Stegostoma tigrinum: one gene and its partner. The protein of the gene in region 1 interacts with the protein of each later gene in a pairwise test. Links are inferred from orthologs where the notes say so. Each region holds a gene or a part of one and is shown on either strand. Other genes may lie near its edges.

Region 1 (8,030 bases):
TCCCTCACATTCATTACCCCTGGGTTAAACTCGTTTCACTAGTGTCCTTCAGGGAAGGAGATCTGCCATCCTTACCTGATCTGGCCTACATGTGACTCCGGACTCACAGCTTTATTGGTGACCCTTAACTGCTCTCTGGGAAATTAAGGTTGGGCAATCAATGCCAGCCTAGCCAGAGATGCCCTCATTCTATGAATGGATAGAAACAAAGCATCCAATTCACTGAGTCAAACCCCTTTGAAGCACAGAGGGTTTCAGGTTCCCAAGCCCAGCCCAAAACCCGGATGTAGGGCACCTCAATAAATACTACCATTCTAAAAGGGAGCAATAAGAATGTTTACCAGCAACAACTTATATTTATGTAGCACATTTAACATGATTTGAACAGGCCATTGCAGGAATAATGGGCTGAGTGGCCTCCTGCACCGTAAAAATCCTGTGATTCTGACAAAACATGCCAGGCACTTCTCAGGAGTGGTTTCAGGCGGATATACAGAACCTACATCAGAGATGTTTGGAACAAATGTCCACAAACAAGTTCAAAGGGATAGATTGTAAAGAGTTTCAGAGATAGAAGGAGAGGTTCAGATTGTAGATTTTAGATTTTGTAAAGAGTGATATTTTTGTAGTTCATTCATTCATAGGATGAGAGTATCGCTGGCTAGGCCAGCATTATTGTCCATCCCTAATTGCCCAGAGGGCATTTAGGAGTCAACCACATTCCTTTGGATCAGGAGTCAAGTTTAGACCAGACCAGGTGATAGCTGCAGTTTCCTTCCCCGAAAAATATGAGTGAACCAGATGAGCTTTTCCAACAATCAACTCATAAGACCATAGACATAGGAGTGGAAGTAAGGCCGTTCGGCCTATTGAGTCCACTCCACCATTTAAATCATGGCTGATGGGCATTTCAACTCCACTTCCCTGCACTCTCCCCGTAGCCCTTGATTCCTTGTGAGATCAAGAATTTGTTTATCTCTGCCTTGAAGGCATCTAACGTCCTGGCCTCCACTGCGCTCCGTGGCAATGAATTCCACAGGCCCACCACTCTCTGGCTGAAGAAATGTCTCCTCATTTCGGTTTTAAATTTACCCCCTCTAATTCTAAGGCTGTGCCCACGGGTCCTAGTCTCCCCACCTAACGGAAACAACTTCCCAGCGTCCACCCACCTCATGCACATCATTAGATTCTTATTGATTCAAATGACTGGATTTGAACCCAGGTCCTCAGAATATTACCTGAGTTTCTGCATTAACAAACCAGCAATAACACTATCAGGCCATTGTAAGGCAGATGACAGTGTTAATTAATAAATGGGATGTGATATTATTGCTATCACATGGATAAGGTTGAAGGAGGGACAGGCCTGAGCTCAATATTCTGAGACATAGAATCTTTAAGTGAAATGGGGAAGGGAAGTAAGAAAGAAGGTGCTGTCACAACATTGATCAAGGATTACTGTAATAAGGAGGGATGATACCTCAGAAGGTTTCACAAATGAGGCCATATAGCCAGAACTTAAAAAGATAAAAAAGCAATGACATTGTTGAGGCTGCCCTATATCTTCCTAGACAGTCAAGGGAGATAGAAAGAAAGCCATTTAGGCAAATCTCAGAGAAGTGTAAAAACAACAGGGTAATAATTGTAGGGATTGAATGAAAGCGCAGAAGACTCAGTGGGAGCAGAATTCCTGAAATATGTCCAGGACAGAGATTTATACACAGCACCTAGGATGTGTTCTTTATTTCAAAAATACGCTTTATATACAAAATATCTTTATACTTATACATAGTTACTGAAGCAGTTTGGTTCTGAACAGTAGCATATGAAGAAACAAACAAACATTGAAGTTTAACCCTATCCAGCAAACAAACCAAAAGCATTTCTTATTTGTACAAGATTATATTCACATGTAATTTGAGGCACCAGGATGGTCCAATAACTGAATGTCCTCATTTAACTTCAGCAGAAAGACCTCAGACAGTGGTCCTTCCCCACTGTGCCTTGGCAGCAGCTGCCCCAAGCTTTAGTGTGTCCCTCAGGACAGAATCCTGGACCTTGGAATGTGTCAGTCTGCAACACTCGGTCAAAGGCAACGCAGCATGTGGGAAGTCCTACAGAAAAGGAAATAGTGCTGGACCTCACTTTAGAGAATGAAGCAAGGCAAGTGGTAGATGAGGCAGTGGAGGGATGTTTCAGTGATAGTGACCATAATTCAGCAAGATTTAAGGGAAGGATCCAAAATAAGGGGTCTGAAATGAGCAAAAGCTGGTTTTAATAAGATGAGACAGAATCTGACCAAAGTAAACTGGGAGCAGCTTACCTTGCAGGGAGATCCCCAACAGAGCAGTGGGAGGCATTGAAAAGGAGAATGGTGAGAGAGTAGGGTAACATTTCCCTGTAAAGGTGAAGGGTGGGACCAACTAGTCCAGAGAACCCTGGATCTCAAGGGATGGACAAAGAAAATGAAGGAAGCTTACATCAGACACAGATGGCCGAGAACAAGTAGATATCCTATTGGAGTATAGAAAGTGTGGGGAATGCTTAAGAAAGAAGTTAGGAGAGCAAAGAGGGGACATGAAAAATCACTGTGGGTAACATTGAAGAAAATCCCAATTTTTAAAATATTTTCGGGGCAAGGAAATCACCGGGGAAACAGTAGGGTTCATTAGGGACCAAAGTAGCAACCTGTGGGAGGAGTTGGAAGTTGCAGGTGAAGTTTTAAATGAGTGCTTTGCTTCAGTATTCACTGTAGAGGAGAATGATGTAGGTATAGATATCAGGGAGGGAGCAGTGATACACCTGACTGAATTAGCTTTGAGAGAGAGAGAGGCAGGAACAACTTTAGTGGCTTGAAAGAGGATAAATCTCCAGGCCCAGACAAAATGTATCTGAGGCTGTGTAGGAGGCAAAGGCTCAACGTTATATTTCAAATACTCTCTCGACACAGGACAGGTGCCAGGAGACTGCAAAACAGATAATGTGGTTCCATTATTCAAGAAGGATGGTAGGGACAAACCAGGAAAACTATAGGCCAGCGAGTCTGACATCAGCAGTAGCAAAATTATTGGTAAAAATTCTGAGGGAAAGAATCAATTTCCACTTGAATGGATCTGCAGTAACTTGCTCCCCAACTTGAAGAGACATGTATTAATCAAGAATAGTCAGCAGCATGGCTTTGTAAAGGGGAGATCATGTTGAACAAATATAATTGAATCTTTTGAGGCTATGACTAGATGTATGGATGACGATAGTGCATTGAATAAAATTCTCATGGACTTCAGTAAGGCTTTTGACAAGGTCACACACGGGAATCTGGTTGAGAAGCTGAGAGCCCATTGGATCCAGTGAAAACAAATTGCATGTAAAGTTGAATGAGTGGCGGGAACCAGAGTGTGATGGTTGAAGATAACAAAGTGTGGAGCTGGATGAACACAGCAGGCCAAGCAGCATCTCAGGAGCACAGTGTGTTGGTTGAAGGGTGTTTTTATGCCTGGAAGTCTGTGTCCAGGGAACTTTCAGGGATGGGAGCTGGGCACCTTGTAGTTTGTTGTCTACATTAATGAGATAGAAATTAATGCAAGAGCTAAGAGGAACGACACAGCAAGATCGCACAGTCTCCAATTTGGACATGTGAAGAGCCAGACGAGTGACCACGCATGGCCTGAGGCTGAGTGGGGGAGGCTTCTGGAACTGGAAGTGGAGCAATAGGAGCAGGGGGAGGTGTTTGTGTGTTGGGGGTGGGGAGAGGACAGGGGGAGGTGTTTGTGTGTCGTGGGGGGGGAGAGGACAGGGGGAGGTGTTTGTGGGTCGTGGGGGGGTGGAGAGGACGGGGGAGGTGTTTGTGGGTCGGGGGGAGAGGACAGGGGGAGGTGTTTGTGTGTCGTGGGGGGGAGAGGACAGGGGGAGGTGTTTGTGGGTTGGGGGGAGAGGACAGGGGGAGGTGTTTGTGTGTCGTGGGGGTGGAGAGGACAGGGGGAGGTGTTTGTGTGTCGTGGGGGGGAGAGGACAGGGGGAGGTGTTTGTGTGTCATGGGGGAGGAGAGGACGGGGGGAGGTGTTTGTGGGTTGGGGGGAGAGGACAGGGGGAGGTTTTTGTGGGGCAGGGGCAGGGTGAGAGGAGCAGGGGGAGGTGTTTGTGGGTCAGGGGCGGGGTGACAGGAACAGGGGGAGGTGTTTGTGGGTCAGGGGCGGGGCAATAGGAGCAGTGGGAGGTGTTTGTGGGGCAGGGGCGGGGCAATAGGAGCAGTGGGAGGTTTTTGTGGGGCAGGGGCAGGGTGACAGGAGCAGTGGGAGGTGTTTGTGGGTCAGGGGCGGGGCAATAGGAGCAGTGGGAGGTGTTTGTGGGGCAGGGGCGGGGCGACAGGAGCAGGGGGTGGAGTTTGTTTGTCTGGGGCGGGGTGATAGGACCAAGGGGAGGTGTTTGTGGGTCAGGGGCGGGGCGATAGGAGCAGGGGGAGGGGTTTGTGTGTCTGGGGCGGGGCGATAGGAGCAGGGGGAGGTGTTTGTGGGGCAGGGGCGGGGCGATAGGAGCAGGGGGAGGTGTTTGTGGGGCAGGGGCGGGGCGACAGGAGCAGGGGGAGGTGTTTGTGTGTCTGGGGCGGGGCGATAGGACCGGGGGAGGTGTTTGTGGGTCAGGGGCGGGGCGATAGGACCAGGGGGAGGTGTTTGTGGGGCAGGGGCGGGGCGATGGGACCAGGGGGAGGTGTTTGTGGGGCAGGGGCGGGGCGATAGGAGCAGGGGGAGGTGTTTGTGGGGCAGGGGCGGGGCGACAGGAGCAGGGGGAGGAGTTTGTGTGTCTGGGGCGGGGCGATAGGACCAGGGGGAGGTGTTTGTGGGTCAGGGGCGGGGCGATAGGACCAGGGGGAGGTGTTTGTGGGGCAGGGGCGGGGCGATAGGACCAGGGGGAGGTGTTTGTGGGGCAGGGGCGGAACGATGTGAAGGGGCGGTGCCCGGGTTTGCGGGTGGGGTCAAGGGTCATAGGACGAGGCCTGCGGCGCCATGGCGGCCGATCCCAGCCTGGAGCTCGATGAGCGGCTTCGGGAGGCGGCGAGTCTCGGGGATTCTGAGCTGGTCTCGGAGGTGCTGGGCCGCGGGGCCCGAGTGAATGGGCAGAACGCGGTGAACGGATGGTGAGGAGCCGGGCAAGGGGGGGCCGGGACGGCAGGGAAGCCCGCCCCTACGTGGGGGGAGGGTCAGTACTGAGGGAGCGGGCGCTGTCGGAGGGTCGGTGCTGAGGGAGCGCCTCACTGTCGGAGGGTCAGTGCTGAGGGAGTGGGCACTGAGGGAGTGGGCACTGTCGGAGGGTCAGTGCTGAGGGAGTGGGCACTGTCGGAGGGTCAGTGCTGAGGGAGTGGGCACTGTCGGAGGGTCGGTGCTGAGGGAGCGCCTCACTGTCGGAGGGTCAGTGCTGAGGGAGTGGGCACTGTCGGAGGGTCAGTGCTGAGGGAGTGGGCACTGTCGGAGGGTCAGTGCTGAGGGAGTGCCGCACTGTCGGAGGGTCAGTGCTGAGGGAGCGGGCGCTGTCGGAGGGTCGGTGCTGAGGGAGCGCCTCACTGTCGGAGGGTCAGTGCTGAGGGAGTGCCGCACTGTCGGAGGGTCAGTGCTGAGGGAGTGCCGCACTGTCGGAGGGTCAGTGCTGAGGGAGTGCCGCACTGTCGGAGGGTCAGTGCTGAGGGAGTGCCGCACTGTCGGAGGGTCAGTGCTGAGGGAGCGCCGCACTGTCGGAGGGACAGTGCTGAGGGAGTGCCGCACTGTCGGAGGGTCAGTGCTGAGGGAGTGGGCACTGTCGGAGGGTCAGTGCTGAGGGAGTGGCGCACTGTCGGAGGGTCAGTGCTGAGGGAGTGCCGCACTGTCGGAGGGTCAGTGCTGAGGGAGTGCCGCACTGTCGGAGGGTCAGTGCTGAGGGAGTGGGCACTGTCGGAGGGTCAGTGCTGAGGGAGTGGGCACTGTCGGAGGGTCAGTGCTGAGGGAGTGGGCACTGTCGGAGGGTCAGTGCTGAGGGAGTGGGCACTGTCGGAGGGTCAGTGCTGAGGGAGTGGGCACTGTGGGAGGGTCAGTGCTGAGGGAGTGGGCACTGTGGGAGGGTCAGTGCTGAGGGAGTGGGCACTGTCGGAGGGTCAGCGCCGAGGGAGCGCCGCACTGTCGGAGGGTCAGCGCCGAGGGAGCGCCGTACCATTCATTTGGTTTGATTTATTTTTGTGACGCAAATGGAGATATGGTTAAATAGTATGGTTTTGTATGCTAACCAGACAAATCATACCTGAATAAGTATGTCAGGCTAATCGAATGACGAATATAGTCTTATAGCTGCAGAGGAAGATCAACTTCTAATATGAGAGGTCCATTCATAAGTCCGCTAACAGCGGGAAAGAAGTTGTTCTTGTATACGTTGGTAGGGTTTTAAGCTTTCATATCTTCTGCATGATGGAAGGCAGTGGAACCTGCGTTGCAGGATCCCTTCGTTATGTTTCTTTTTCTTTGGAAGGCAGTGGAACCTGCGTTGCAGGATCCCTTCGTTATGTTTCTTTTTCTTTATTCGTTTAAGGGATGAGGGCATCGCTGGCTTGGCAGCATTTATTGCCCATTCCTAATTGCCCAGAGGGCAGTTAAAATTCCACCACACTGTTGTGGGTCTGGAGTCACATATGTCTGGCCAGGTAAGGATGGCAAATTCCTTCCGTAAAGGACATTAGTGGACCAGATAGTGTTTTCCAACAATTGGCAATGGATTCACCATCATCATTAGATTCTTAATTCCAGATATTTATTGTATTCAAATTCTGCCATCTGCCGTGGCCGGATTCGGACCCATGATCCCCAGAATGTTATCTGGGTCTCTCGATTAACAGTCCAGCAATAATTACCAGTAGGCCATCACCTCCCCTAATGATGTTATAATTCTGATGTGTGAATAATTTCATACTTGTTTTGAAGAACATCAAGAGCGAGAGTCTGTCACGCTTAAACTTCAGGGAAAATGGCTGTGATCATGTTCGAGTGTTTCACCTTACATTCTGTTTTAAGTATAACACAAGTCTCCATCAAAATCTATTCTGTTGCATTTCCTTTAACTTTTCTGGTTGTTTAAGGAAATGCGTGGAATTTTACAGTATAGATGGAGGCCATGTGACCCTTCATGTCTGTACCAGCTCTCAAAAGAGATTCCCAGCTTGTCCCATTGACTGGTTTCCTGAGGCAGCGGGAAGTGTAGATGGAGTCAAGTCATACAGCATTGAAACAGACCCTTCAGTCCAACTCATCCATGCCGACCAATGTTCCTGAACTAAACTAAATCACACCTGCATGTGTGTTCCCCATATCCCTCTAAACCTTCCCTGTTTATGTACCTGTCCAAATGTCTTGTAAATATTCTAAGTGCACCTGCATCTGCTCCTAATTCTGGCAGTTCATTCCACAGATGAATGACCCTCTGTGTGAAAATGTTTCCCCCCAGGTCCCTTTTAAATCTTTCTCCTCTCACCTTAAAAATATGCCCCCTAGTTTTGAACCCCATGGCTCTCGGGAAAAGACCTTTGCTATTCACCCCATTGTTGCCCTTCATGATTTTATAAATTGTTATTAGGTCACGCCTTAATCTGGTGGATAAAGTCCCAGCCTAACCAATCTCTCCTTATAACTTAAACCCTCTGGCCATGGCAATAACTTGGTAAATCTTCTCTGAACCCCCTCCAATTTAATAACATCCTTCCAATAACAGGGCGACCAGAACTGTACACAGGAGTCCAAAGTGGCCTCACTAATGTCTCCTATAACCTCAACATGACATCCTAACTCTTATACTCAATGATCTGAGCAATGAAGGCAAGCGTGCTACATGTCTTAAACACCCTGCCTGCCTGTGATACAACTTCCAAAGAACTATGCCCCCAAGTGCAGAGGTCACTCTGCTTATCAGCACCACCCAGGACCCTACCATTAACTGTATAAGTCCTGCCCTTGTTTGCTTTGCCAAGATACATAGAAGATAGGATGAGGAGGAGGCCTTTCAGCCCTTTGAGTCTGCTTTGC
Region 2 (8,041 bases), on another chromosome or scaffold:
ATGTAATAACTGAGCATTTGGAAAGCAGTGACAGAATTGGTCCAAGTCAGCATGGATTCACTAAGAGAAATCATGCTTGATAAATCTTCTGGAACTTTTTGAGGTTGTGACCAGTAGAGACGATAAGGGTGAAACAGTTGATAGCATATCTGGACCTTCACAAATCTTTTGACAAGGTTCCACACAAGGGATTAGTAAGGAAAATTGAAGCTCTTGATGTCTGAGGTAATGCATTTTTGATAGAGAATGGTTTGGCAGACAGTAAGCATTGAGTTGGAATAAAAAGGCCCTTTTCGGAGTGGCAGGCAGCGACAAGTGGGGTGCTGCAGGGTTCAGTGTTGGGAAGCCAGCTATTCACAGTATACATTAACAATTTGGACAAAAGAATTGAATGCAATATCTCAGTTTGCAAACAACACTTAGCTAGATGGCAGTGTGTGCTCAGTGTGCTAAGAGGCTGCAGGGTGATTTGGACAGACGAGCTGAGCGGACAAATATTTGGCAAATACAATATACTGTGGATAAATGTGAGGTTATCCACTTTGGTTGCAAAAACCAGAAGGCAGATTATTATCTGAACAGTGGCAGTTTAGGAAAAGGTGAGGTGTAACAAGATCCAGGTGATATGGTGGAATGGTCGCTGAACATCGCCATGCAGGCGCAGCAGGCAGCAAGGAAAGCTAATGTTACACTGGCCTTCGTTGCGAGGGGATGAGTGTATTGGAGTGAGGATGTCTTGTTGCAGTTGTACAGAGCCTTGGTGAGGCCACACCTTGAGTATTGGGTGCAGTTTTGGTCTCCTGGTCTGTGGAAGGACATTCTTGCTATTGAGGGAGTTCAGCAAAGGTTCACGAGACTGATTCCTGGAAAGGCAGGACTGACATATGAGGAAAGACTGGATTGACCAGGCTTGTACTCACTGGAATTTAGAAGAATGAGGGGGGGATCTCTGAGAAATATATAAAATCCTCACAGGGCTGGACAGGCTAGATGCGGGAAGAATGTTTCTCGATGTTGGGGAAGTACAAAGTTAAGGGTCACAATGTAAGAATAAGGGGTAAGCCATTCTGGACTGAGATGAGGAAGAACTTGTTCACTCAGAGTCGTGAATCTGTGCAGGTAAAGGGATCAAGATGTATGGAGAGAAAGTGGGACTGCAATACTGAGATCACACAAACAGTCAACCTCCTGCACCTATTTTCTACACTTCAGGTAAAAAGTACCCAACCACGGCTAACAGAAGAAATTAAAGATGGTATTTGTTTCAAAGAGGAGTCATATAAAGTTGCTAGAAAAAGTCATAACCTTGAGGATTGGGAGCAGTTTAGAATTCAGCAGAGGACGACCAAGGCGTTGATTCAGAGCGGGGGAAAGGAACATAAAAGTGGACTGTAATAGTTTCTATAAATATATAAACAGAAAATGTTTAGAAGTCTGAAACAGGAGAATTGAAAATGGAGAAGGAAAAAGGACAATAACTAAATTACTTCTGTTCTTTATTCACAGAAGAGGATACAATTTACTTCCCAGAAATATTCAAGGAAGCAAGGATCCATTAGGAAGGAGGAATTTAAACAAATTAGTATTATTGAGAAATGGAGAAATGAATCACAGTGAAAGCTGATACATGCCTGAGCCCTGATAATCTACACCGAAGGCAACTACAGGTGGTGTTCATGGAAATAGCAGATGTAATCTTTGCATTCTGGAGACCAGTTACTTCATCCTGGAGACCAGTTACTAGTGGTGTACTGCAAGGCTCAGTGTTGGGTCCACTGTTGTTTGTCAGTTTTACAAAAGACCTGGATGAGGGTGTAGAAGGATGAGTTAGTAAATTTGCAGATGACACTAAGGTTGGTGGAGTTGTGGATAATGATGAAGGATGCTGTAGGTTGCAGAGAGAAATAGATAAGCTGCAGAGCTGGGCTGAGAGGTGGCAAATGGAGTTTAATGCAGACAAGTGTGAGGTGATGCACTTTGGTAGGAGTAACCGGAAGGCAAAGTACAGGGCTAATGGTAAGATTCTTGGTAGTGTAGATGAGCAGAGGGATCTCGGTGTCCATGTACACAGTTCCTTGAAAGTTGCCACCCAGGTTGACAGGGCTGTTAAGGCGGCGTACAGTGTTTTAGCTTTTATTAATAGAGGGATTGAGTTCCGGAACGAAGAGGTTATGCTGCAGCTGTACAAAACTCTGGTGCATCCGCACTTGGGAGAATTGTGTACAGTTCTGGTCACTGCATTATAAGAAGGATGTGGAAGCTTTGGAAAGGGTGCAGAGGAGATTTACTAGGATGTTGCCTGGTATGGAGGGAAGGTCTTACGAGGAAAGGCTGAGGGACTTGAGGCTGTTTTCATTAGAGAGAAGAAGGTTGAGAGGTGACTTAATTGAAACATATAAAATAATCAGAGGGTTAGATAGGGTGGATAGGGAGAGCCTTTTTCCTAGGATGGCGACAGCGAGCAGGAGGGGGCATAGCTTTAAATTGAAGGGTGAAAGATATAGGACAAATGTCAGAGGTAGTTTCTTTACTCGGAGAGTAGTAAGGGAATGGAACGCTTTGCCTGCAATGGTAGTAGATTCGCCAACTTTAGGTACATTTAAGTCGTCATTGGACAAGCATATGGACATACATGGAATAGCGTAGGTTAGGTGGGCTTGAGATCGGTACGACAGGTCGGCACAACATCGAGGGCCGAAGGGCCTGTACTGTGCTGTAATGTTCTGTGTTCATTCTTAGAAATTTCCAAGGATCAGCTGATCAAAGTTCAGTAAAATGGAGGTGAGCTGTTCCCTGAGAGTTAATTTACATTCTAAACCAATGCAGAACTCAGCTGAGACACATTTTGTCAATTAAGACATTTTTGGCGTACAATTTATGCTGACATTACCTCTGCTCCAAGTGCAGTCAAGGTTTCAATTAATACAGCAGTTTGAAGAGTCATATGGAGGCAGCCTGCGATCCGGGCTCCTTTCAGCGGCTTAGAATCCGCATGCATCTTCCTCATCATCAATAAACCAGGCATCTCATTCTCTGCAATCTCAATGGCCTTACGACCCCATTCAGCCAACGTGATGTCAGCTGTAATGCAAAGAAACAAGATTCACACAGAATCAATATGTACAGGTAAGCTGGCAATCCAGAGAACCAACCTCATGCCAGGTTCAAATCATAAAGTGAGAGTTTGTGCAATTCAAAATTTACAATAAGACTTCTGGAAGTGAAAGCTCTTCTCAGTAAGAGTACCATGAAACCAACTGTCAAAAATTCCATCTGGTTCACAGATGATGTACAAAAGTACAAGAAAACTGGCAGCCTTACCTGGTCTAGCCTCCATATGGTTTCTGATCTATAGAAATACGGTTCACTCAAACAGTCAGCAAGTCACTCAGTTGTACAAAGCTGCTGCAGTGCAGTCAAATAATTAAAACAGATTGCATGATATTGACAGGGAAGCAAAACAACCAGACTAAGCTTTGCTTAGTTCCAACTCCTGTACTCGATGCCTCAACCGATGAAGGCCAATATGCCAATAGCCTTCTTCACCACCTTGCCGACCTGTGACATTACTTTCAATGTCCCTCTATCCCACAACACTCCTCAGGACCTTACCATTTACTGTACAAGTCCTATCTCGGTTTGACTTTCCAAAATGCAACACCTCACTTATCTGTATTGAACTGCATTTGCCAATCCTCAGCCCACTTCTCCATCTCATCAAGAGTTCTCTGTAAATTTTGATAACCTTCTTCGTTATCAACGATACCTCTTAATTTTATATCATCCACAAACTTGCTAATCATGCCTTGTACGTTCGCATCCAGATCACTTATGTAAATAACAAATAACAAAGGTCCCAGCACTGACACCTGTGGCATTCCGCTCGTCACGGGCCTCCAGTCCGAGAAACAGCCTTCAACCATCATTCTCTGCTTCCTACCATTGAGCCAATGTTGAATCCAATGAGAGACAGTAGGAACTGCTGATGCTGGAGAATCTGAGATAACAAGGTGTAGAGCTGGATGAACACAGCAGGCCAAGCAGCAGAGGAGCAGGAAGGCTGCCATTTCAGGCCTATTTTTTCTGAAGAAGGGTCTCGGCCCAAAACGTCAGCCTTCCCGCTCCTCTGATGCTGCTTGGCCTGCTGTGTTCATCCAGCTCTACACCTTGTTATCTTTGAATCCAATTAGCTAGCTTTCCCTGGATCCCACGTACCCTAACTTTCATGACTAGCCTGTATGCAGGTCCTTGCTAAAGGCCTTAATAAGGTCCACATTGACAACATCCACTGCCCTACCCTCAGCTACTCTCTTGATTACCTCTTCAAAAACACTCAAAGATTTATAAACATGACTTCCCATGAACAAATCCATGCTGACTCTCATCAGATCTTGATTATCCAAATGTTGGTTGATCCTCTCCCTCAGTATCCTCTTCAATAACATGCCAACCACAGATGTCAGACCCACTGGCCTGTAGTTCCCTGGCTTGTCTTTGCTACCTTTCTTAAACAATGGAAAAACATTAATCACATTCCAGTCTTCCAGAACTTCTTCAGTGACTAAAGATGAAGCAAAAACCATTGCAAGAGCCTCTGCAATTTCTTCTCTAGCATCCCACAATGTGAGGATGGACTTGATCAGGCCCAGCGGATTTATCCACTTTAATGCGCTTTAAGGCTGCAAACACCACCTCTCCGTTAATGTGTATTAATCTGAAACATCCGCACTAGTTTCCTTTATTTCCTTAGCATCCATGATTCTCTCCTCAGTAAACAATGAGGACAAATAGTCATGAAAAATCTCTCCCATCTCCAGTGACTCCACATAAACAGCTATGCTGATCTTTAAGGGGACCTATTCTCTCTCGAGCCAACCTTTGACTCTTATTCTAAAAAAAATCTATAAAACCTCTTGGGATCATTTTTAACCTTATCTGCTAGGTCAATCTCATAACCTCTTCTGATTTCCCTCTTCAGTGCGCTCCTACACATTTTATAGTCATCCAGGGATTCACTTGAGCCCAACGGCTTAAACCTAATATATGCCTCCTTTTTCAAAGAACGGAGAAAATTACAGCACAGGAACAGGCCCTTCAGCCCTCCAAGGCTGCGCTGATCGAATCCTCTGTCTAACCTGTCATCTATTTTCTAACGGTCTGGGTCCATTTGCTCCCCGCCCATCCATGCACCTGTCCAAATATATCTTAAAAGACGCTAACATGTCTGCGTCAACTACCTCTGCTGGCAACACGTTCCATGCACCCACCACCCTCTGTGTAAAGAACTTTCCATGCACATCTCCTTTAAACTTTCGTCCTCTCACTTTGAACTCATGGCCCCTAATAATTGAGTCCCCCACTCTGGGGGGGAAAAAGCTTCCTGCTATCCACCCTGTCTATACCCCTCATGACTTTGTAGACCTCAATCAGGTCCCCCCTCAATCTCCGTCTTTCTAATGAAAATAATCCTAATCTACTCAACCTCTCTTCATAGTTAGCACCCTCCATACCAGGCAACATCCTGGTGAACCTCCTCTGCACCCTCTCCAAAGCATCCACATCCTTTTGGTAATGTGACAACCAGAACTGGACACAGTACTCCAAATGTGGCCGAACCAAAGTCCTATACAACTGCAACATGACCAGCCAAATCTTGTACTCAACACCCCGTCCAATGAAGGAAAGCATGCCGTATGCCTTCTTGACCACCCTATTGACCTGCGTTGTCACCTTCAGGGAACATTGGACCTGAACACCCAGATCTCTGTTCATCAATTTTCCCTAGGACTTTTCCATTTACTGTAAAGTTCGCCCTTGAATTTGATCTTCCAAAATGCATCACCTCGCATTTGCCCGGATTGAACTCCATCTGCCATTTATCTGCCCAACTCTCCAGTCTATCTATATTCTGCTGTAATCTCTGACAGTCCCCTTCACTATCTGCTACTCCACCAACCTTACTGTCATCTGCAAATCTGATCAGACCACCTACACCTTCTTCCAGATCATTTACATATACCACAACAACAGTGGTCCCAGCACAGATCCCTGTGGAACACCACTGGTCACAGGTCTGAGAAATTTGAGAAACTCCCTTCTACTACTACTGTCTCCTGTTGCCTAGCCAGTTTTGTATCCATCTAGCTACCACACCCTGGACACCATGCGACTTCACTTTCTCCATCAGCCTGCCATGGGGAACCTTATCAAATGCCTTACTGAAGTCCATGTAGATGACATCTACAGCCTTTCCATCATCAATCAACTTTGTCACGTCCTCAACAAATTCTATTAAGTAGTTAAGGTATGACCTTCCCTGCACAAAACCATATTGCCTATCACTCATAAGCACATTTTCTTCCAAATGGGAATAGATCCTATCCCTCAGTATCTTCTCCAGTAGCTTCCCTAACACTGATGTCAGGCTCACTGGTCGATAATTACCTGGATTATCCTTGCTACCCTTCTTAAACAAGGGGACAACATTAGCAAGTCTCCAGTCCTCCAGGACCTCACCCGTGTTTAAGGATGCTGCAAAGATATCTGTTAGGGCCCCAGCTATTTCCTCTCTCGTGTCCCTCAGTAACCTGGGATAGATCCCATCCGGACCTGGAGACTGGTCCACCTTAATGCCTTTTAAGATACCCAACACTTTCTCCCGCCTTATGCCGACTTGACCTCGAGTGCTCAAACACCTATCCCTAACCTCAACATCTGTCATGTCCCTCTCCTTGGTGAATACCGATGCAAAGTACTCATTAAGAATGTCACCCAATTTCTCTGACTCAGCGCATAACTTTCCTTCTTTGTCCTTAAGTGGGCCAATCCTTTCTCTCGTTACCCTCTTGCGCTTTATATATGAATAAAAGGCTTTGTGATTTTCCTTAACCACGTTTACTAGCAATATCTCATGTCCTCTCTTAGCCCTCTTAATTCCTCGTTTCAGATTCGCTCTACATTCCTGATATTCTTACAAAGCTTCGTCGGTCTTCAGTCGCCTAGACGTCATGTATGCTTCCTTTTTCCTCTTGACTAGTCTCAATTTCACCTGTCATCCATGGTTCCTTAATCTTGCCATTTCTATTCCTCATTTTCACAGGAACACATCTCTCCAGCACGCTAATCAACCTCTCCTTAAAAGCCTCCCACATATCAAATGTGGATTTACCTACAAACAGTTAAACAGTTTCCTGGCCAGAGCCTCAATATCCCTCATCAGCCAGAGATCCCTAAACCTGCAGCTTTGCTCTTCACCCTAACAAGGGCATCCTATCCCTGGGCTTTTGATATCACACTTCCCAGTCACTCCTTTTCCTTCAAACAGACTTACCCAATCGACCTCTGCTAGATCCCATCTGACAGCCCCAAAATTGGCCCTGCTCCAGTTTAGCACCTTAACCTGTGGACCTGTCCTATCTTTTTCCATAACAACGCTAAAACTAAGAGTGCTATGGCCACTGGGCCCAAAGTGCTCTCTGACTGATACTTCAGTCATTTGCCCGACCTGGTTTCCTTAAGAGGAGGTCCAGTGTTGCACCCTCCTGAGTAAGGTCCTCTACATATCGATTTTGGAAACTTACTTGGTCACATTTGACAAATTTCACCCCATTTGGACCTTTTACACTCTAGACGGTCCAGTCAATGCAGAGGAAATTAAAATCTCCAACCAACACTACTCTGTTATTCCAACAGGTATCTACAATCTCACTACACATTGGCTCCTCTAGGCTATTTGGGGGCCGATAATGCAATTCCAAGAGTGACTATCTCCTTCTTGTTTCTAAATTCTAACCATATGGCCTCATTTGTAACACCTTAAGAATATCCTCCCTAAGCACTGTAATGTCCTCCCTTTTCAAAACAGTAACTCCCCCTCCTTGCTTACTTGTACTTATGTCCCGCCTGTTGCTTCTGCAAACTGGAACAATTAGCTGCCAGTCCTGCCCTTCTCTCAGACATGTTTCTGTTATGGCTATAATATCCCAGTACCCAGAGGCAATCCATGATCTGAGCTCATCTGCCTTACCACTCCTGCCATGCA

What was found.
Region 2: the proteins of ankrd40 (region 1) and ahcy interact in binary tests that used the Homo sapiens proteins (3 or more experiments, as listed by UniProt). The two-hybrid records come from large-scale screens. The link is inferred for Stegostoma tigrinum from reciprocal best matches to the Homo sapiens genes ANKRD40 and AHCY.

Annotation. Positions count from the first base shown.
Region 1 is NC_081375.1:6,718,409-6,726,438, reverse strand, and holds the start of ankrd40 (ankyrin repeat domain-containing protein 40), read left to right. Parts: upstream 1-4,952; 5' UTR 4,953-5,000; coding exon 5,001-5,131; intron 5,132-8,030.
Region 2 is NC_081372.1:144,356-152,396, reverse strand, and holds the start of ahcy (adenosylhomocysteinase), read right to left. Parts: upstream 3,108-8,041; 5' UTR 3,026-3,107; coding exon 2,891-3,025; intron 1-2,890. UniProt on the Homo sapiens protein: Catalyzes the hydrolysis of S-adenosyl-L-homocysteine to form adenosine and homocysteine. Binds copper ions.